Callithrix jacchus: one gene and its partner. The protein of the gene in region 2 purifies or fractionates together with the protein of the main gene of each other region. This does not show direct contact. Links are inferred from orthologs where the notes say so. Each region holds a gene or a part of one and is shown on either strand. Other genes may lie near its edges.

The links.
Region 1: the proteins of ALK (region 2) and SHC1 purify together in Homo sapiens (affinity purification with mass spectrometry; 3 studies listed by BioGRID and IntAct, with this or other methods). This does not show direct contact. The link is inferred for Callithrix jacchus from reciprocal best matches to the Homo sapiens genes ALK and SHC1.

Annotation. Positions count from the first base shown.
Region 1 is NC_133519.1:15,379,434-15,390,213, forward strand, and holds SHC1 (SHC-transforming protein 1), read right to left. Parts: upstream 6,376-10,780; 5' UTR 6,155-6,375; coding exon 5,660-6,154; intron 5,062-5,659; coding exon 4,991-5,061; intron 4,455-4,990; coding exon 4,391-4,454; intron 4,237-4,390; coding exon 4,117-4,236; intron 3,882-4,116; coding exon 3,828-3,881; intron 3,656-3,827; coding exon 3,604-3,655; intron 3,422-3,603; coding exon 3,295-3,421; intron 2,760-3,294; exon of another isoform or gene 2,159-2,759; coding exon 1,981-2,158; exon of another isoform or gene 1,903-1,980; coding exon 1,833-1,902; exon of another isoform or gene 1,752-1,832; coding exon of another isoform or gene 1,749-1,751; coding exon 1,617-1,748; exon of another isoform or gene 1,466-1,616; coding exon 1,053-1,465; downstream 1-1,052. Other genes in the region: CKS1B (cyclin-dependent kinases regulatory subunit 1), read left to right, coding at 10,616-10,674. UniProt on the Homo sapiens protein: Signaling adapter that couples activated growth factor receptors to signaling pathways. Participates in a signaling cascade initiated by activated KIT and KITLG/SCF.
Region 2 is NC_133515.1:85,091,159-85,101,954, reverse strand, and holds the start of ALK (ALK tyrosine kinase receptor), read right to left. Parts: upstream 5,755-10,796; 5' UTR 4,824-5,754; coding exon 4,157-4,823; intron 1-4,156. UniProt on the Homo sapiens protein: Neuronal receptor tyrosine kinase that is essentially and transiently expressed in specific regions of the central and peripheral nervous systems and plays an important role in the genesis and differentiation of the nervous system.

The DNA of each region.
Region 1 (10,780 bases), on a different chromosome or scaffold from region 2:
GCAGCCAGAACTACAGGCATGTTTCACCATTCCTGACTAATTTTTTATTTTTTTACTTTTGTAGAGACCAGGTCTCGCTATGTTGCCCAGGCTTGTCTTCCCACCTCAGCCTCTCAAAATGTTGGGCTTACAGGCTGGAGCCACCACACGTGGCTAAACAACGGAAGTCTGGAGGAACAGTAATGCAGTACAGGTAAGGGGAAGCACAAGGGTCTGAGTCCTGAGTCTGGGGAGCTGGGGAAGCCCGTGGGTCTTCTTACAAAAGGAAACTTGCAGTGTCTAGCCTCTAACCATCTGAGTTTGGGCATCACAACCTCTTCAGAGTGGTCTCCTCATTTGTCAAAAGAGGGGCACAGATGATATAGATGACTGCCTTCTAGCTCTGATAAGCTTACGGCTTGGAGATTTGAGGAGGAGCCAGGGCTGTATTTATTTTGTTTTGTTTTGTTTTTTTAGGCAGAATCTCACTCTGTTGTCTAGGCTGGAGTGCAGCAGTGTGATCTCAGCTCACTACAACCTCCACCTCCCGGTTCAAGCCATTCTCCTGCTTCAGCCTCCTGAGTAGCTGAGATTACAGCTGTGTGCCACCACACACAGGTTTTTGTTTTGTTTTGTTTTGTTTTTTTTGAGACAGAGCCTCAATGTGTCACCTCAGTTCACTGCAACCTACACCTCCCTGGTTCAAGCGATTCTCCTGCCTCAGCCTCCCAAGTAGCTGGGACTACAGGTACAGGCTACCACACCCGGCTAGTTTTTGTATTTTTAGTAGAGACAGGGTTTCAGCATATTGGTCAGGCTGGTCTCAAAACTCCTGACCTCAGGTAATTCACCCACCTCAGCCTCCCAAAGTGCTGGGATTACAGGCGTGAGCCACTGTGCCTGACCAATCTTTATATTTTTACTAGAGACTGGGTTTCACCATGTTGGCCAGGCTGGACTCAAATTCCTAACCTCAAGTGATCTGCCCACCTTGGCCTCCCAAAGTGCTGGGATTATAGGCGTGAGCCACCATGCCTGGCCCTGTGCCAGGACTATAAAGGACACAGTTCAGGCTAAGGGATAAGCCCCTGGAGGAAGATGCCAGACACCTTGAAGAGCAGAGAGGCCCACAGAGAGCTGCCCAGCAGGAAATGTCTAGAAAGCAATGGGGGAAGGAACAAGAATGCACTGTAGGGTACTGTACCTTCCTTTCTGCCACCCCTCACCCTCACCTCTGCCATACTCACCACACCCTCAGGGTCCACCAGTAGCAGATGCTTGGGCTGCCCACTCTGCAAGCCAGTGAGCACATACTGGCCAGGTGTGGTCGTGCTCTCCCGCACCAGGAAGTCCCCGTTGAGCTGCAGCAGTGCCTCAGCCTCCCGCCGGCTCAGCTTCCCATGGAACCAGGGCTCCCCTCGGAGCTGCTCAGCCATGGTGACCGACTGGGGAGGTGGAGGCACCCGAAGAGCATCTTCAAAGGGCTCTGGAGGTGTAGAGAGAGGGTGAGGGGAGGTAGCAGGCACAATACACACCCAAGACCCAGACTTCAGGGAAGGAAAGAGCAGATATAGGCAGGGGAAGGGCCAGAACCAAGTAGGAAGATAGGGATGCAGAGAGGAGAGAGGAGCACTCACTCATGTCAAATAGGTCCCGGGGCGCACTGCCATTGATGGCAGGATTGGGGGGCCCAGCACCACCCCCTGCTTGCCGGGCCTTGTCTAGGTTCTGGACGTTGACGTAGGAGGGATCATCAAAGAGCTCTCTGCCTGCTGAGGAAAGGGAGGCTGTACAGTGATCCCGGTCCTGCCTCCAGGACTCCCCAGCTCTGCCCATCTCGGCTCCCTTCATACCTGGACAGGGTGGTGGAAGTGGCATCTGTTTGCGGACTTCTGGATCTCCTCCAACAGGCTGTCCTATAGGCTGCAAGGATGAAAATAAGGTGGAACCAGAGGCCCTAACCAGCCACTCCCACCCTAGGCCTCCATCCAAACAACTTACCAGTGTAGCTCCCAAGTGGCTGGGGGTCTGGGCAGTGGGCGGAGTGGCTCCTTCCCGAAGCCTCATGTCTACTACCCCCCCAAGAGGGGGTTCCTTCCCCGGGAAGTCATTATAGTACTGATGGTCAGGTGGCTCTTCCTCCTCCTCATCCCAAGCTGAGCCATCAAAGCCAGCCATCCTGAGAGACAGGACAGTGAAGGTGTGGCCGTAAATGTGTGGTGGGCAGGAGGAGGGAACGGAACAGCAGCCATGTATTCGGTATTTACTATGGGTTAGGCCTGAGGCTGAGTGTGTTATATACCTAATCATTTCATTCTCCTGGCAACCCCATAAGATAGGTATTGTTTTCTTTCCTAGTTTTACAGATGAGGCAAATGAGGATCAGTGGTGAAAAGATTTGCCCAAGGTCTCACAACTAAAAGGTGACAGACTCAGATTTAAATTCAGGTTTGACTTTAAAGCTTATGCCCTTGGGCAGGTGCAATGGCTCATACCTGTAATCCCAACACTTTGGGAGGCCAAGGAGGGAGGTTGTTTGAGCCTAGGAGTTCAAGACCAGACAGGGCAACGTAGTGAGACTGCCTCTACCAAAAAAATAATAATACTTAGCCAGGTGTGGTGGCATGCACCTGTAGTCCCAGCTACTCAGGAGGCTGAGGTGGGAGAATCACTCAGCCCAGGATATGGAGGCTGCAGTGAGTTGTGTGATTACACCACTGAACTCCAGCTTGGGCAACACAGCAAGATTCTGTCTCAAAATAAAAAAGTAATGCTCTTGCCCTTGATCACTGTGCTATCTGCCAGCAAGGAAGGGAAGCATTATGTAGTGAGGTGGGGAGAAGGCACTACAGAATAGTTTAACCTCTCCTAATCAGTCCCTCCTGGCGCCACTGCTTATCCCTCACGGCCAGAGGTGGGAAACACTAATCTCAGGGAAAAGAGATATCCTCACAAACCCAAATTCTTGATGGCTTCTGGAAGCATTAAAATACAGAGTGTCAGAGAAATGGGCAAGCAAGAGGGATGGGAGTAGAAAAATCTCATCTAGCCAGAGAGAGAGATGTAACTTGGATGCCTCAGACTGCAGCTCCACCATGAGCAACAGGAGGAAAAGCTGGCCCTGCAGCAAGCAGGGCCTCAAGAGTCTTTCCTTGTGGGCCACAGGAAATGGAAGAATCACAGGAAGGGGGAAGCAGAGGCACGCAGGTTATTCCCTCCCTAAGCCTCTCAGCTCAAGTGTAGGAAGAGCAGCCCTCCTTTCCCAATCCTGTTCTGGGGCTTAAGAGCTGCTGCACATCCTCCCCACCTGCTCACCTGTCATGGGGGGTGACCAGTTTGGGTGGGTTCCTGAGGTATTGTTTGAAGCGCAACTCGAAGGCCTGACCAATGGTGCTGATGACATCCTGGGCAAGCCCTTCAGGACACTCCAGAATGTGGCAGGCTGAGGGCACAGCAGAGGCGGTCATTGAGCTGAGCCCACTGGGAGGAGGCATAGACAGGGCCCTCATCTTCCTCAGCAGGAACCCCTACTTAGCTCTACTTAGCAAAAGCGGGTGCAGACCCCAGGTCCCGCTCATCTCCTCAAACAGCCGGACCCACCCAGTGCTCCCCACCATGCCTCACCTCTCTGATTCACAGGGTCTTTGGCAACATAGGCGACATACTCGGCTGTGTCCTGGGGAGGAAGGTCAGAAAATGTTACAGCTCCACTTTACTCCTAACCCCTAAAACCCCGTCCTTTTCAGATATCCCCACAATCCTAGCACCCCCACTTCTCTAATAAATGTCTTCCCAATCCCTAGCCCCTTGCTCTTCTCCCGCCACCTTTGCTCTGTTCCCCAACTCACCGGATCCCCGCCGGATGCAAATGAGATAGATTGCATGTGGTGGTTGGCGATGATCTGAGAATCAGGGCAGGGGATGAAGAAGGAAGGGAATGCCATGCGTCAGGCGCCTCAGGGCCCAGAACCCTCACACCCAGTTTCATTCTCTGGGTTCCTTATCCCATATCCTCACTTCCTCCGTCCCTACTGGTCTCTTGCTCTCAAGCCCTCTTCCTAGTTTTTGGCCTCCTAACTAGATCTCCCCTTAGCACCCCCACCAGTGTTTCTAGTCCCCCTGCCCAACTCCACCAACCTGCTTGCAGTCTGCGGCCATGAGGTTGAGGCTGCTGGTGGAGATGGTGAGAGTGATTGGCATCCCAGCAAATTTCAGGTTACTCCTTCCCAGGATAGAGCTGAGCGGGCGGCTACAGGGCTAAGGTAGGGCCCAGGGTCTCAGAAGGTGAGGGTTCCCAGCTCCGGCAAACCACACTCTTGCCTTCTGGCCTTCCCCCACATGCCCCACACTTGCCTTCCCCCTGCCCCTCACATCTCCCAGCTGCATCCCTATCCCCAAGGACCCCAGATACCTTTCTCCTCCTTGTCGCCCCCTTAGCACCCGGCACAGCCTCACACACCAGACTGATGGCCTCCCTGGGGAAAGAGGGGTACTCAGACCCAGTGCCTGCCTGCTTCCCACTCAGCTGGGGCTGCCACAGGGCTGGGGGAGGGGAAAGCCAGGCCAGACTCCCAGGGCACTCCAGGCTCTTTGTCGTGGTGGATTGAATTAAGGGCCTTTAATATTTGATGACACTGAGAGGCCGCTTCCTGGCTGATTGGGTTAGGGCCTCAATGGGTACAGACCCACCCACTTCCAGCTACCAAATGTCCCATTCCCTTCCCAAAGGCAGCAGCAACCTTCCATCTACCCCCATTTTCTACTCCAGCTCTACCTGCCAGCTGCTTCTGCCACCTTCCCCACAACTCCCAAGGATGGATAGGTAAGGAGGATCCAGGCCAGAGGGGCCTCCTTTCAGTAAGATACAGAATTACCACCAGCTTTCTCTCAATCCCCTCCACTACCCAAAGATCAGCCCCCACCAGCAGCACTCAAGTGACCACTCCCCTCCTCCCTTTCCTGTGGCCTCACTAACCCCGGGACTCCCCCAATCCACTCCCTCCCCACTAACCTGGTGACCTGAGTCCGGGTGTTGAAGTCCAGGGCACGCATTGACTGCAGGACCTCCACACAGCCCATGTACTAAGCGGAAGGAGGGGAGGACAGCAGGTCAGCAGCTCCCCCACCCCAGCCCCTTCACAAAGGGCCCTAGGACTTTGCCCACATGGTCCTTAAGGGAAGTAGAGATGGAGAGGTTCTGCCCACTTCCCGTGGCTACATCCCACAATCAAGGTGAAAGACAACAGGGAATGAGGAGAGAAAGAAAGGCAGGCTAGAAAGAAGGACCTCGCACTGGGGAGAGAGTTTGGAGGGGACCGACAGGCATTGGCTGGGATGGAGTGACAACTCCAGAAAGCAGGAGGAGAATGGAGGGGAGGATCAATAAGTCACTCATTCCAACACTTACTAAGAGCTTCTGCCATGCTGGGCATTGTGCTAAGCATGGCAGGGTAGAGGTGGGGGTGGGGGAGTCAAAAGAAGGAAGGGGGCTCAGGCAGAGCTGGAAGGGAAGGGACTACAGAATCAGGGAAGGGATGGGAAAGGTTTAGGAAATAGGACACTGAAACGGGGTTGTAGAACAGCAGGAGAAAAGAGATTCCAGCCAAGCTGGAGTGAGCAGAACTGGGGGGGGGGGGGGGGCGGGGGCTGGGAGGGAGTGGAAGAGAGAATGTTCACTCACCCGAACCAAGTAGCAAACCCCGGGTCCCATGACTTTGTCGTTGGGATGCAGCCAGCCCCGTGTGGGCTTATTGACAAAGCTCCCGTGGCGGGTCCACTCCTCGCCCCCCAGCTGGCCCCCTTCCACCCGAGTCCTGCGCCCGCCGCCTCCACTCAGCTTGTTCATGTCCTGGAGGAGGGGTAGGGGGCCTGAGTCTGGCATGGCTGCCCCTACGATCCCCTCCCCATCATCGGCTGCCCTTCCTGGCTCCCCCTTAGGCCCGGGGCGCCCCCCAGCCGGATTGGCGAGCCTCAGGTTGCTCATCCGCGGGAAGAAGGAGCACAGGGTAGTGGGACTATCGTCCCCAGGCAGAGGAGGCAGGATGGGTCCCAGGGATGAGGCTGATGGGGAAGGCAGCTCCTCCGGGGGGGTGGACCCTGAAGCCCCCTCCTCCAGCGATGACAGAGACTCATTCCGGAGTGGATTGTACTTGGGCTTAGGGGGCAGGAGATCCATAGCTGAGGTGAGAAAGGGGCTGCTGCCCGGCCTGGCCCCCCTGCCAGTTTGGGCAAGGGGGCCAGGCAGAGGGTATCCCCAGGCCCTTAGCCTGGTCGGACCTCTGTGGCCCAGGAGTCACAGAAGTCCTGGGGAGGGAGAGGGACAAGTGGGTTCCGCTCCCCAGCTCAGACCCAGACAGTTTCAGGCCCCATCCCCGCCCAACGTGGAGCCTCTTCTCTGGCTGAGAAGAGAACAGGCTGGACCCAGAGCTGCCTGGCTCCTCCCTGGGGGCGGGGAGCTAAGGAGAGAGACCAATCCGGAGGACAGTGCTGACTCACAGGCTCAGAGGGGCTGAGCCCCACCCTGCCCCAACCTCGAACTCTCCCCAGCCCTATACAAACAACTAGTAATCTGGGGAGGAGTAAAGTGGGGGGTGGGAGGAGAGGATGGAGAAATAAGACGGAAAGGAGGGAGATAAGAGGAGGTGCGGGTCACTGGAAACCGGACACAGGCAGACCAAAGGGGCCAGGAAGCCAGGCGAGAGTAGAGAGGAATGAGGGAGGAAACGGAGGCAACTGGGGGTGGAAAAGGGAGGAGATCTCAGAGCTCAGCATTTCCCTTCCTGTCCTGGTTGAACACTAGAATTCCCCCATTCTCGAGCCCAGGCCACCCCGCACCACTACCACATACAGTGAGCCTGGGCCATTAGCATCCTCTGCTACAACAGCTGTGGACTGGAGCTAGCGAAGTGGGGATGGGAAGGAAGTGGTCCCAATGGATGCAGAGCAGGGTCAAGAGGAAGAGCAAAGCTGGTGAAAATCAGGGAATAAAGTCCAACCTGGATGGTACATCAGGAAGCTACCAGGCAAGAAGTGAACAAGAGGACATGCTGGTCACAGCTTGTTCTCTATGCGCGGCATCTACCACACCAAAGAGCTATGGCTCACAGCCAAGCACTATCCAGTCTCCCCTTTCCACAGGCTTAACACAGTACATTGTCAAGGGTGAGAATGAGGCCTCAGGTCCCCACACCCACTCCAAACCACCCCACTTCATATCCCTGCTCTTACAGGGCCCTAAGCCCCACCAAAGAGTACAGTGTCCCTCACACCTGGGAAGGAGCCTGGCTGAAAGAAGAAACAGTTCTCCAAGAGACATAGAAGCTACACGCCAGGAAAGGACAGAGAGATCAGAAGACGCATCCATGTCAATAAGGACAGGAGAAAAAATAAGTACAGGACAAAGGGATGTCAGGAGAAGACGGGCTGAAGCTGGCACAGGGAACAGTCCCAATCCCATTCCCGCCACCCACGGCTTCCTGCCACTGCTCTTCTGGAGAATGCCATAGGAAAGCTGGAAAGTGACCAAAAAAACAAGTTAAAGATACATATTCCCACCAGGTGCAGTGGCTCACGCCTGTAATCCCAGCACTTTGGGAGGCTGAGGCAGGTGGATCACCTGAAGTCAGGAGTTCGAGACCAGCCTGGTTAACATGGTGAAACCCTGTCTCTACTAAAAATACAAAAAATTACCTGGAAATGGTGGCAGGTACCTGTAATCCCAGCTCTGGAGGCTGAGGCAGGAGAATTGCTTGAACCCAGGAGGTGGAAGTTGCAGTGAGCCGAGATCAAGCCACTGCACTCCAGCCTGGGTGACAAGAGTGAAACTCCACCTCCAAAACAAACAAAAAAAAAGATACATATCATCTCAAGCTCACCTTGGAATTACCCTTAGATTTACTTGTGGATTTATATATATAATATGATTATCCTGATTAACAACATTAACACTTAAAGTGTGTTAGATACTGTGCTTAACTTTTTTTTTTTTTTTTTTTTTTTTTTTTTGAGACAGGGTTTTGCTTTTCGATCTGTCCCCCAGGCTGGAGTGCAGTGGCATGATCTTGGCTTACTGCAACCTCCAACTCCCGGGCTCAATCAATTCTCCTGCCTCAGCCTCCTGAGTAGCTGGGACTACAGGCCCATGCCACCACGCCAGGCTAATTTTTTGTATTTTTAGTAGGGATGGGGTTTCACCGCATTAGCCAGAATGGTCTCGAGCTCCTGACCTCGTGATCTGCCCTTGTCAGCCTCCCAAAGTGCTGGGTTTACAGGCATGTACCACCGTGCCCGGTCACTTAACTCTTACATCTCCACTTAGTGCTCATTCCAGGAGAGCTTTGTCACTCTGTCAGCTAATCCTGAGAAGGAATTTTATCACTTCATTTCCAGCCATCTCTCAGGCATAGAGAGAATGAGGAAAGGATTCCACCATAGCCTCACACCCCCAAAACACACAAACACACACTAGGATGTCCTCATCTGTGGAGATGATATTCTGTGGGAGCTTGCAGTATCCAGAGCCAGAAAATGACCGATGGGTGTGGGCGTTTAGAAGAAAAGAAAGAAGTATAACTCTTTAAATTTGCATAGGGAGAAAGAAGATTGCCTACTGGAAGTCCAGGTGATTGGGTGTAGGGGAAAAGCTGTGTGTGGCTTCTCAGCCCAACTGGGAGGAGGGGAGAGGAGCGGGAAGTAGCAGGAAATGGCGAAAGCCTCAGGAATGTTTCCAGCAGAGAAGGCTGGGCACACGGGACCAGGAGGAATGCCCAGAAAAGATCTCTGATTAGGGGGAGGGGAAGAGACAGAGAAGTAGCGACTGAACTGTCCCTTAAAAAAAAAATCAAACAAAAAGAGTATATTATCTACTGCCACTCCAAACCACCGTTTTTCTGGTAGTAGAAAACTTTCACTCCTGTCACACCCACATGCCACACACCAACAAATCCATGGTCCTATCCACTGATGTATAGGTAAAGCCTAGAGCTATTTCTGGGGTGGAGTTGGTCCTAGGAAGGGAAAGCCAGGAAGTGAGGCTGGGAGTCTTGAGAGCAAGTCTCTCTCCCTCTCATGCCAAACCCCAAGTTCAGCCCCTTCAAATAGCTCTACCCTTAGAGGAAGTTAAGAAAGGGGAAAACAGGCGCGGTGGCTCACGCCTGTAATCCCAGCACTTAAGGAGGCCAAGGCGGGTGGATCAGGAGTTCGAGACTAGCTTGGCCAACATGGTGAAAGCCCGTCTCTACTAAAAATACAAAAATTAGCCGAGCATGGTGTCGGGTGCCTGTAATCCTAGCTACTCGGGAAGCTGAGGGAGGAGAATCACTTGAACCCGGGAGGTAGAGGTTGCGACGAGATCGCACCATTGCACTCCAGCCTGGGCAACAAGAGCGAAACTCCGTCTCAAAAAAAAAAAAAAAAAAAGAGAGGAAAACGGCTGCCTTTAATCTTATGCCTCACAGCCAGAGATGGGAATTTTGACTTCCCACTTGGGGGAGCAGAAGAGTGCTCGGAAAACTGATCCCAAGGCCCCCAAAAAAGAGAAAGGACAGGGAAATATAAACAGGTGGAGTTTCAGGGATTGAAATCAAGGCTTTTCAGTTGAGGATCTAGGTCCCACAAAGATAAAACTACCAAGGGGGCGTGGTCCCCTAGGACTAGAGCATTAGACTTCTAAGCAGGGAGGCTTTCTGGACAGTCAGATGTAGATTACAGAAGGGGCGTGGTCTCAGAGGGGCGGGGCCCTGGATAGGCGTGGCTTCAACAAATTCGAATCTCGTTCTTTGAGGAGCAGGGTTTTGCCCTTTAGGGAGATAGTCTTTTTGACAGGAGTTAGCGGAGGATCCTTGCTAGGAGGCGGAGTTTCGGAGAATGGAAGGAATAACGAAGGATTTCTCGTACAAGGGCTTGGAACGTGTCTGGGGGTGGGGCTTCCAGGAAAACTGGGTGACAGGGTGGGGTCGGAGACAGACAGTAAAAATCAAGTGGGGGTTCGGGGGAGCACCCCGAAGTTGGGAGGTGGGACTTCCGGGGAGAGGGGTCTCAGGGGGCGGGACTTATAAATGAAGACCGGAAGTGGGGTCCCGTGAGAGGGGTTCCGGGGTAGAAGAGTGGGTAACCTAAGGAGAAAAAAATCAAGACTCACCAGGGCCTCATGGAGTCTCCGCACCGCACCGCGGGCCGATTTGGTTCCGGATCACACCACTGCCAGCTTAGGTTACCGCTCCAACTTTCTCCCCGGGCCCTGCCTCCCCGGAGAAACTTTATTACACTCACTTCCGGCCTCACTAACCCCTGACCCTCTACCTCAGGTTCCCTCCTTCACGCTTCCCACTTTCCCGAGTCAGCCAATGGTAACGCGAGATCACGCACGGAGGCAGTGGTGGCCAATAAGAGGGCTACTTTTGACCCACGCTCGTTCTTGAGAAACGTAGGAACTGCCCTCCAATAAGGACTCGAGGATAAGCAAATCTAAGCCAATCGGAAGCTTGAAGGTGGAGCTGTCCCGCCTTGAGCCAAACAGACCAATAGGAAGTGCGGGCGGCGTGTTTGAAAGCGAGGCCAAAGTGGGTGGGAGCGCGTGCTGCTGGGAGTTGCTTGGAGGTTGGCGGCGCGGGACTGAAGGCTAGCAGACGGAGCGATCATGTCGCACAAACAAATTTACTATTCGGACAAATACGACGACGAGGAGTTTGAGTATCGGTTAGTGCTGGCGCGGGGGCAATAGCGACGTCGTAAACTTTAACCATTGAGATTACAAGGAATTAGTAACTGGAACCGTGGCGATAGAATTGGCGCATGCGTACGA
Region 2 (10,796 bases):
ACAGATCACACCCCAGAGAAATAGTCTATGTTTAATTGGAGGGCAGGGAAGAATCAACTGAGTAATTTTAAAATATTTGTCATTAACAATTTTTTTGTAAGTGCTTCTCACTAACTTCAAAGATGTATATGCAATTCTTTTTTTTCCTCTAAAAACACCAATGCCCAAAGGCTCTCAGGATTTGGATCATAAAAGGTTCTGATTCCTTCTTCCATTCTCCATCCCAGCTCTCTGTCTTGTTATGGCTTCTCAATATTTGAAAATATAGAACTGATTAATTAGGAAAGCTGGGGCTTGTCTGACCCATATCTCACCTGACTCCCTGCTCCCTTGGAACTCCATTCCCTAATCAGAGGGGTATCAATGTCAGAAAACAAGCTTTCCCTGATATCCAACCCAAAGTTTCCTTCTGCAAGTCTGATCCAATTACTTCCATGGGCCAGGCTAAATAACTCCTCTCCTTCACTGCCATTCACTCTCTTCAGAGATTCATAGATTGTTACCATGGCTCTCCCTTCACTGCCATTTAGCCCAGCCATATATATTTAATTCTTTTCATCTTTCATCATAAATCAGTCCCTTCAACTGTTAAATCGGCTCTCTGCTCTTCTCTGGACTAGTTCCAATTCTCTCAATTCACCTCCAATAACTGATATCCCTTCTGGGAGCTCTAATTTCCTCTCTCTTTTTTTTTTTTTTCTGTCTCTGCCCACCCCAGAAGTGAAATGGGAAGGGACTGACAGATATGGGGAGTCAAGATCAGGGTATATTGCACTGCATTCATCTCTAAATTGCTCAGGCCTCTCCATATTACATGTAAAATCCCAAGTCATGTATCCACTTTCCTGGAGTAGGGAGAGAGTGCTTACAGGGAAATAGGCCTCCTATCCCCATGAGTCATCATCCCCTAGCCCTCTGCCTGGGTGACGACAGAAACAGATCTCAAAATACCTGTAAGGCAGGATACAAACTGCAGCTGTGGGCAACATGTCAGCCTTGCAGACAGATATCTTTTCCATGATTTGGGCTGTCCTGGGAGAGGCCAGGACTATTAAATACAGTCCCAGAAACTGCCTCTTCACCTCTTCTCCATGACTGGGTGCATTTTGGAACTGCCTCCGACTTGAAAGGCTCATCCCATTTATGAATTCACAGCAACCAACAAAGAAAAGCCATTAGCATTTCATGCATTACAAGGCCTCTCAGACATCTTGTCTTCTCAGACAGTCCAAATCACAAACAATGCAAAGGTTTTGCTTTCTTCTAACTGGTGCTTTTTCATTGTTGCTATTTTAGTCATGGTCCTGCTCAGGTTTAGGAAGCTGTCTTTGGTCTGAGCCAAATGGGCTGCTCCAGGCCTCTCACCACAAGAGATGGAAGAGCAACCAGCTCTTTCCTCCCCACAGATAGCCCCATTAGCATCATTGTGTACCTCCAAACAAGACCACAAGTCACTTAGACAGACACAGGAAGAAATAAGCAGAGTTGTGTCTACTTTCCCTCTGTATAATTGAAGAGCCCACATCATAGAAGAGTTAAATGCCTTTTCTATAAATAAGAGCCTATATAAAAACAATAAATCCATTTCTCCAAACATGATAAACAGCAAAATCAATCCCAGTGTCAGAACCTAAGCTTGAATTTTCATAAGAAAAATGAATGGAACCATTATGATATATGTTGTCCGAAATACAGAACACGGTATAACAGGGTGTGTCTACTCCATGGGGATGTCTGCAGTGGAGACTACAACTGAATGAGTTTGGGGAGGCAATGACAACATGAGAGAGGCTAGTCCTGCATGGCCAGCTGCCTAACTGCAGACAGCATATGTCCTCAGAGTTAGGAGAGACCAGGCTGTTCCAAGTGTGGTCACTACAAGGCCTGAAGTGCTTTTCAATAGGTTGTCTGTCTCTCTGGAGGTCACAGGGAGCTCATCCAGCTACACTTAGTGTCTTGTTTGATCCTATCAATAATCATTTGATCCCAATCCTGCTGAAAAATGCTTGGCCAAAGTTTCTAGCCTTTTAATGGCAGAATCCTGGCTCCTACTGAAACCAGCATTCCTAGATGTGTCAGTGATGCATAAGGGCTTGGTCCAGCTGCCAAATGTACTGGGCCCTTAAGGGAGGGCATAGGATGCCCACAGTGCTTCCCTACAGCCAATAGCAGAGAAGCCCTTGGAGCACATGCCTTTCTACATAAACCTCCCCACTCGGCAGCTCCAACTCCTTATTTAAGACTTGAGTATAGCATATTTTTCAAAGGCATTAAGCATGTGACTCTTCAGAGACAGCCACTGATGTCTTCATGCAACCTACCTGTTTACAGTAGGCAGGTTTGGGGATGTAGAAATGAGCCCTTTTACCTGTCACCAACATCTGACAACAGCTGATATAGACTGCTGAATTCTATGGTCATTTGAAAAAAGGCAATGGGGAAGCTCCAGAGATGCTCATAGGCATGAAATTAGAAGATAATCTGCATTTCCAGAGAAGTCAATTTTATATTCATTACTAAAACATTGGGCACTAAAACAGAATGTTGCATGTGTAAACCACACAAGCCACAATGACATTAAAGCCCAGCTGTTCTTTACAAAAATATCTTTGGTGGAACAACAGTCACAGTCTTCCATCTCAGTTCATCAAAGGCACTATCAGACTCATCGGTGCCTTTTAGGATGGACTCTATAAATTCCAGCACTAAACAGAAAGGGCTCCCTTTAGGTGCCAGTGCCACTAACACTAAGGCTGAAATATGGATCTGCACTCTGTTTTTCTTGGGAATGACATACTAGTATGTTTTCTGTGCAATGTCTAGGGAACCTCAGCTTCTGAATATCCTTGCTGCATGAGAGTGCACGTGTGTGTGTGTGTGTGTGTGTTGGAACAAGAATGCAAGATACTTGTAGCTCTACAATGGACCCCTTTCATGGCTCTCCATCCAATTAATTCTAGACATTAGTAGCCAGTGGAGCATAAGAACTTCATTTATTTCTGATGATGAGAATGATAGAAAAGGAGCTCGGTTTGCTCAATGGAATTTGTGTAGGCTTTTTAAAAGCCTGATTTCTTTTCTGTGCCTTTCTCATTCATTTACATTGTATATTTTATTCACATGTCTTTCCCCATTTGTCTTACAAGAAAAACATCCATTAAAAACTACCTGGTTTTCCAGTCAAAGGATACTCTGGAAAGAGTTAGAAGTAAGTGTCTGCACACACACACCCAACTCAGTGAATATGGGAAGAAATGACGGAGTAAATGAAACTGAAAAATGTCATTTTAGGAGTCTCCATCAGGGAGATCTGCAGTGAAACAAGCCTGCCACCGACTATCATCAAGAGCTGCTGCTGCAGACATTCAAGCTAAGAATCAGAGGGGAACAGAGGAGGGGGGAAAAGGTAAGAAAAGCAGGAAAACCAATGATTGCTTCTCCCTAGCTTCATAGTGACTCTTCCAAAGGAAGATAATCTTGACAACTTTCTTCCCTTCTTCCACATCTCCCTCCAGTCCTCTGTTCCTTAGTTTCTCTGGGTGTTTCCCAGCAACATGTAAGAAAAAGGATGAGTCTGAGAGTGCACAGCACACTGGCTAGGGGTGAGAGAGGGAAGAATGAATTAATAAAGAAGAGACAATCCCTGGCAATCTCTGCCCAAGCCAACATTTGAGAGGGGGGCAGTTGGGTGAGATTCAATAACATAAAGAGAAATTCTATATTCCCTGAGAAGACGTATCATATTTCCCAAATCCGTGCTGGCCAGGAACAAGGGGGAGAGAAGGGCAACAGCTTTGACATCTACTGCTAAGCTTGGAACCTAGAAGTAATAGGGGCATTTCAACTGTCCCAGGGACCCAGTAAGAGGGGCACCCAATTTTGGCTCAGACCACGTGTTAAGTCCAGAGAATAAGGCGCTCTGCCAAGAGTAGGAAACTTTTCTCCCAACTTGGTTGCTAAAGAGGAAGTAAGACCCCTGAACTGCGTTCAGGGAGAAAACAAGAAACTGCAGTCTGACTCAGGAAGGAGGTTTGCAGGAGGAAGTAGGGCTAAGAAGTAGAAGCTGAGGTTTTTAGTAAGTGGGATTACTTAATGGTTACATATCAGTGTGAATAAAAACACTAAATCCCGGCACGCTCAGTCGGGAGCTGCTCACCAGTCCCGAAGATCTGGAAGAGAAGGCGGGGCTGGGAGGCGCGGATTGCCGCGGACAGCCTTCCCTCTCTGCCCACTTCCGACGCCTTCTTCTCGGGCATCAGCCGGATTCTCAGTCGCCCTTCGCCCTGGCGAATCCACCAACTGAACAGCTCGCTGAGGTTGAACTGGAGCAGCCCCGCAGTCGCCTCCCCCGGGGGCCCAACGCAACCCTCCAGGATCGCCTCCTCGCCCAGCTCCAACACCAGCTGCTTGGCGCGCCGGAGCTTGCGCACGGAGCCGCCCTTCAGCACCCTGGACAGCGTCCGGGCCTCTGCCGGGGCGGGTGAGCCCCAAGTCCAGGAGACCCCGGGGGGCGGCCCCAGCAGCCTGAGCAGTGGGGCGCAGTCCAACGCTAGCGAGCCTCGTGCCTCTGGCCTTCCAGCCTTCAGCTCCGAGGGGGATGGCGGCAGCAGCAGGTCCCGGGCGTAGACACGGAAGAGCGAGGGCACCACGAAGTCCACTGCCAGACTCTTCCTCTGCAGGCGCGAGTAGCTGAGTGGCTCCCGGGGCTGCAGCTGCAGCCCCGCAGCTGGGGACCCCAAGCGCTGGCCCACCCCCATCCCGGACCCCAAAGCTGCGGTGGAAAGCAGCAGCGGCAGTAGCCACAGGAGCCCGATGGCTCCCATCCCGCCGGAGGGGGCCGTTTACACTGCTCTCTGGGCCCAGCCTCGCCCTTCGCAGTCCCCCAGATAGGAAGACGCTCTGAACAGTCCTTGGTACTCAGCGGCTCCTTCCACCAGATCTTCAGAGGTCCCTGCGTGCACGCGAGTCTCTTGCTTTCCCTCAACTGCACGGAGGGGAGCTGGAGTCTCAATGAAACAGAGCTGGAAGCTCAGGGGCGAGTCCAGAGACCCTCAAGCACGCTGGGCTCACGGGCTGGGACCCTGAGCCTCCGGCTCGCGGTGCCGAGTGCCGCGCCCCCGTCTGTAGCTCGCTGCGCTTGATACAGAGGAACTACTATGGTTGAAGGGAGGTGGCAATTGGGTACCGTCCTCTCCTGCCCCCCGCGGTCAGAGCTGGGCTCGGTCCCCTCTCGGGGCAGCCTCCAATCTTCGCAACTTTCCGGGCTGAGAACAGTGCTCCTAGCTGCTGCACACTGTCCTGGCCGGCCCCTGCGTTCCTTCTGGCACCTCTGAGCACCTCTGCCGGGTCTGGGCGGGAACGGAGGGCGGGGGCTGCTGCCTTCTCGCGCACCCTCAAGCTACCCTCCACTGCTGCAGGAAGGTTTCGGACTGCTCCACCCGCCGAACTTCTGGGCGTGAATCCGAGCCCCCGTGCTGCGCAAGTTTGCAGCGTCCTTGCTCTCGCCCGCGCCTCAGCTTCTCAGAGTTCGCAGGCACCGGAGCGGCCCGGCGGCAGCAGCGGAGAGCGTTCAGGGCAGGAGCGCCCGAAATCTTGCCGCCCCCTCCTCACCCATCAGCAGCTCCCGCGGCTTCGGGTGTCCGGCCAGAGGGCTGCTATAAGGCACCTCGGTGCCCCGCGACCCTCCGAACAGAGGTGGCAGGAGGTGCCAGCTGCTACCGCCGCTGCCACCCCCAGAGCCGCTGGATCGCATCTGCCTGGGCGCCCGCCACTTGCAGCTGGCGGAGCCGCGAGTGCGCGCCGGGAGGGGGCGGGGCCCAGAGGGGCGGGGCTCGCTAGCGGACTCCGAGAGCCACCCGACCCACGCAGTCCCTCCTTGCCCCGCCCCACCTGCGCCGCCAACCAATGGCGTGGCTCTGTCGGTTCCTATGCAAATCTGCAGCGGCCTCAGCATTCATTGAGAAAAGCAGTGAGCCCGCCTCACCCGCCCTCTGTCCCTCTCCAGTCTCTTGTTCTTCCCTTCCTCCAGATTCGCTGCCCTATTTCTCTGCAGTGTGAAAGGGAGCAAATGCAAGAACTGGTAGAGGCCTTTGCAATCAAGCACTCTCCCTAATTATGCATTTAAGAGATTAAATGGGTCCGACTTCGGAAAAACAGGTTCCAGAATTAAACTGGAGGCGAGGGGAAGGGAGGAGGGAGTGAGGAGGGGGTGGCAGCGCGACATTGGCAAATCTGAGAACAGCTTGTAATAAGGCCCTGAGACAGAACATTCTGACCCTTCTATTCGAATGCATTCCTGGGAGCTTAGGAGTCCCGCATCCACACAGGAGAATCTGCGAGTAGAGGGGGCAGAGACGGATGGATGGTCATGGTCTGGCAGAGTTATTCTGCAGCTACAAATACATTTCAGGCCGCCGTCAGTCACCCCGTTTTCTCATAATGGTGTCTGAACATGTGTAACCTCCCCTAGTCCTTGCAAGATGAATATTTTCATTCCAGTTTTACAGATGCAGAAACTGAGTTGCAGATCATTTAATGGCTTGCCAACAATCTTGGGAATGAGTGTTCAGAACCTTAGGTCTTTTTTACTCAACTGTAAAGGCTGTACCTCTCCTCAACACACAACTCAGATAATAGCTGTTTTTATAACAAGTGGTTCACTAGATCCTCAGACAAAACCACAGTCTTTGGGTCACACAAATACCCTTGGTTCCTTCTTGAAGGCTGATTGTCAGGCCTTGTGCTGGCTGTTGGAGCTAAGAATAAGGCAAGATCCTCTCTGGAGCTCACACCAGGCAGGTAGCAGAGGAGTTTTCTCATAGAATCAGAGCACAATGCCACATTGAACCTCCCTCACTGAGCTCCTAGGGGCCGCAGTAACTTGCCTTTCACCCCACAGGAGATAGTGGCCAAGTGGAATCTCTGTTCTCCCAGGAGCTGGGCTCTTTCCAGCTTTGTGGCATTGCCTTTGGCAAGTGTAAGACCCAGTAACTAAAGAATATTGATTCTCGGAATGGCTTTCTTCCTGCTCTATGTTTGGCAACTCACTTAATTTGACAAGCATCCTCCCTCTCTCTGGAACTCACACTGGATACATTGACTTTATAAGTTTTAGGGCAACGAATTATCTCACCCAAGGAGAAGAAAATATGTTCCTATCTTGGTAAAGGAAGGGAAGAAAAGAAAGAAAAGAGGGAAGAAAATGCTATTGTAGTTAATACTTTCCTATATGTACGGTATGTTTAATTTTCATTAGATTTTTCTGACATACATACTGGAAAAGGAATTTTTTATCTGAAATATAAAAAAAGACTAAAACTCCAGCCTTTCCCTCTCTAATTATCTCTACAATTCTGGACCAAAGGCCTCTAGTAATTTGTTAATAACTGTGAATCGTCTGCTGCACCCAATGGCCACTAGGGGGCTGCAGAGACTTGAAACCTTAAGTGAGCTGCCAGGGTTTAACATTCTCTGATAATGTCCATGTCCATTGCTTTTGCACCTCATAAACAGTCTCCATTAATTCTTATGCTTTCATACATTCTCTCAAACTTTTCCCAAGGAAAAAAAGGTGCCTTTTCCTGTAGATTAAATCACACTAAATCTCAAAAATTTTCTTTTTTGTATAATTGTTTTAAAGGAGGCAGGAATTAATATTGATAGTCTACCAGGCACTAATGCATGCATCTGTAGATATGTGGGATTCTAACACATCACACAGCTTTTTTGGGGAAGGGTATATGTTATTATGTCTATTACATAGATAAAACAGCTAAGGCTCAGAGAGGCAAAATAATTTGCCCAAGGTAAAACAGCAAGTAAATAACAGAGTTCAAATTCAAACCAGTAACTCTTTTCCTCCAACAATTACACAACCCACTAAGAATAATTAGGCCCTTAACTCATGCCCAAAGTTAAAACTTTGGCATGCTATCCTATATAATTTCCATCAAGAGGATGGGAGATGGGAAAATGAATTTGAGAGTATGTAGGGGAAATAGAGACAGAAAAATAAAAAGTGTGAGCAATGATAGTTAACACTTATCATGGTCTATTTCAAAAACACTTTCATTCACTATCTCACTTAGTATTCCCAGTAACACTCTGAGAAGAAGTAATAGTATCTTTACTCTACAGGTCACAAATAGAAGCTCAGGGAGGATAACACCACAACAAAACTACACAGGTAACAAGAGCTGAACCTGGATACCTGGCTAAGAAGTTCACACTTTTAAATTCTGCATAACCTCACAATAGCGAAAATGGGATGAGATAAGATGGGTTGAGGTGAGCCCAGATCAACAGAAGAAGAAGCTGAAAGTCCAAATCAAAAAGATGTGGAGTGGAAGAGGCAGACATAGATAGTGACATAGATATCGGAATCTTCAAGGAGACAATTAAGTGAGGTGGGCTGCTCTGAGTCACCTTGCAGATGACTTGGGCCATTGGGCTGGGGGAGGAGGAATGTGAGTTGACCATGTACCAAGAGAGGAAGTGGTCAAGAGTAGGACACTGAGACCACCAACACCCTCCTCAGGAAATTCCCAATTCCGGGAAAAGGAAAAATGAACAACTCAGTCAAGGAGGTACTCAAATTCTCTATAAGAGAAGTAATAATAAAAATGACATGACAATTTAAGCAGTGTGACTTAAGGTAAAACACATCTCACAACTGCAGGATCTGTCTGGGACCTGTGGGATCAATCAAGTTAGGCATTTTGCTGGTCAACAGAGATTCCTCGCGTACCTAATGTATGCAAGATGTTGTTCTATGTTCCAGCTTTTTGCTCTGGACAAAAATAAATGGTCCTTCACCTTAAGAAGCTTACACTTTAACAATGGGAGAGAGATAATAAATGTGCAAGCACATAAAGTAATTTAAGATAATAATAGGTGCTATAAAAACAAAATAGGGCCATGCAGTACATGATGACTTGGGGCAGCAGGTGCGGGTGCAGCCCTAGCTCTAGCTTCATAGTTGGAGAAGCCCTCTTTAAGGTGAGATGAAGTTCTGGTTGGTGGGAAGAGGCAATCATGAAAAGACTTTGAGAGAAAACTTTCTAAGCAAAGGACTATCATATGTCAATAGTCCTGAGATGAGAAGAGGTTTGCATGTCCAGGAGACAGTAAGAAATCAATCTAGTTGGAACACAGTGAATAGAAGACAGAAAGGTGGAGGGGCAGCCAAGGTCTAGATCTTCTACTGTTGGATAAGCCATGGTAACAAGTTTGAATTTTATTTTAATAGCAATGAGAAGACACTACTTTAGTGGAAAGTCTCATTCTCTGATTTATGCTGTAGACCTGAACTGTCCAATATAGTAGCCATTAGTCATATGTGGCTATTGAACACTTTAAATATGTCTAATCCAAACTCAAATGGGCTCTAAGTATAAAGTATACATCACATTTCTAATATTTAGTATAAAAATGTATAAGATCTCTTCTTAGTATCTTTTCATATTGATTACATGTTTAGTGATAATATTTTGGGTATATCAGGTTAAATAAAATCTATCATTCAAGTTCATTTTACTTAATTGAATTAATTTTATTTTTTTAATGTAGCTAGTATTCTGGGCTTAGGCAAGAGTTTTAAACTCTTAGCCTTATTCCTCCTGTTTAAAAGTGGACTATAATCTCCTGACAAAGTTGTTGTCACAATGAAATATAGCAAATGTGAAAATTCCTAAGCGCATAAGTACCCATACCTTTGCTAAGCTAAAGCAAGTCTGTAATCATGGTCAAATGTCAAAAATGAGGACAGGATACAGTTGTATTCTGGCTTGGGGAAACCATGTGTTACATGGGCCTGATGGTGACCAAGCTAACCTTCACTTTCTGGCTGCCTTGGGATGGATGAATTGACCAAGAAGTGATCCTGAATAACAAACTATTAAGTCTGAGGTACCCAGGCACCGGAGAGAGAGGAGAGAGAGGGGAGAGAGGGGAGAGAGGGGAGGAGAGAGAGGGGAGAGAGGGGAGAGAGAGAGGAGAGAGAGGAGAGAGAGGGGAGAGAAGGGAGAGAGGGGAGAGAGGGGAGAGAGGGGAGAGAGGGGAGAGAGGGGAGAGAGGGGAGAGAGGGGAGAGAGGGGAGAGAGAGAGGAGAGAGAGAGGAGAGAGGGGAGAGAGGGGAGAGAGGGGAGAGAGGGGAGGAGAGAGAGGAGAGGGGAGAGGGGAGAGAGAGAGGAGAGAGAGGAGAGAGAGGGGAGAGAGGAGAGAGGAGAGAGAGGAGAGAGAGGGGAGAGAGGAGAGAGAGGGGAGAGAGAGGGGAGAGAGAGAGAGAGGAGAGAGGAGAGAAAGGAGAGAGAGAGAGGAGAGAAGAGAGAGAGAGGAGAGAGAGGAGAGAGAGAGGGGGGAGAGAAGAGAGAGGGGAGAGAGGGGAGAGAGGGGAGAGAGAGGAGAGAGAGGGGAGAGAGGGGAGAGAGGAGAGAGAGAGGAGAGAGAGGAGAGAGAGAGAGAGAGGAGAGAGGAGAGAGAGGAGAGAGAGAGAGAGGAGAGAAGAGAGAGAGAGGAGAGAGAGGAGAGAGAGAGGGGGGAGAGAAGAGAGAGAGAGAAGCAGGAGGGAGGTGAGGAGGAGAAGATGGATAAAAAAGGCAAGAGAAAAATCAGTAAGTAGACCTGAAACTAGACATCAGAATCCACTTACTGCTAAAACATGTGGAAACCCATGACCAAAGGAGCTTACCTTGGGCCAAGAGCAGGAATTGGAACCCAGAAGAAACATTCAAATGAACCAACACTTGTGTTCAGGAAAGTAGATTTTCACTCCAGCCTTTCTTCTCAGGGGCTCTGTG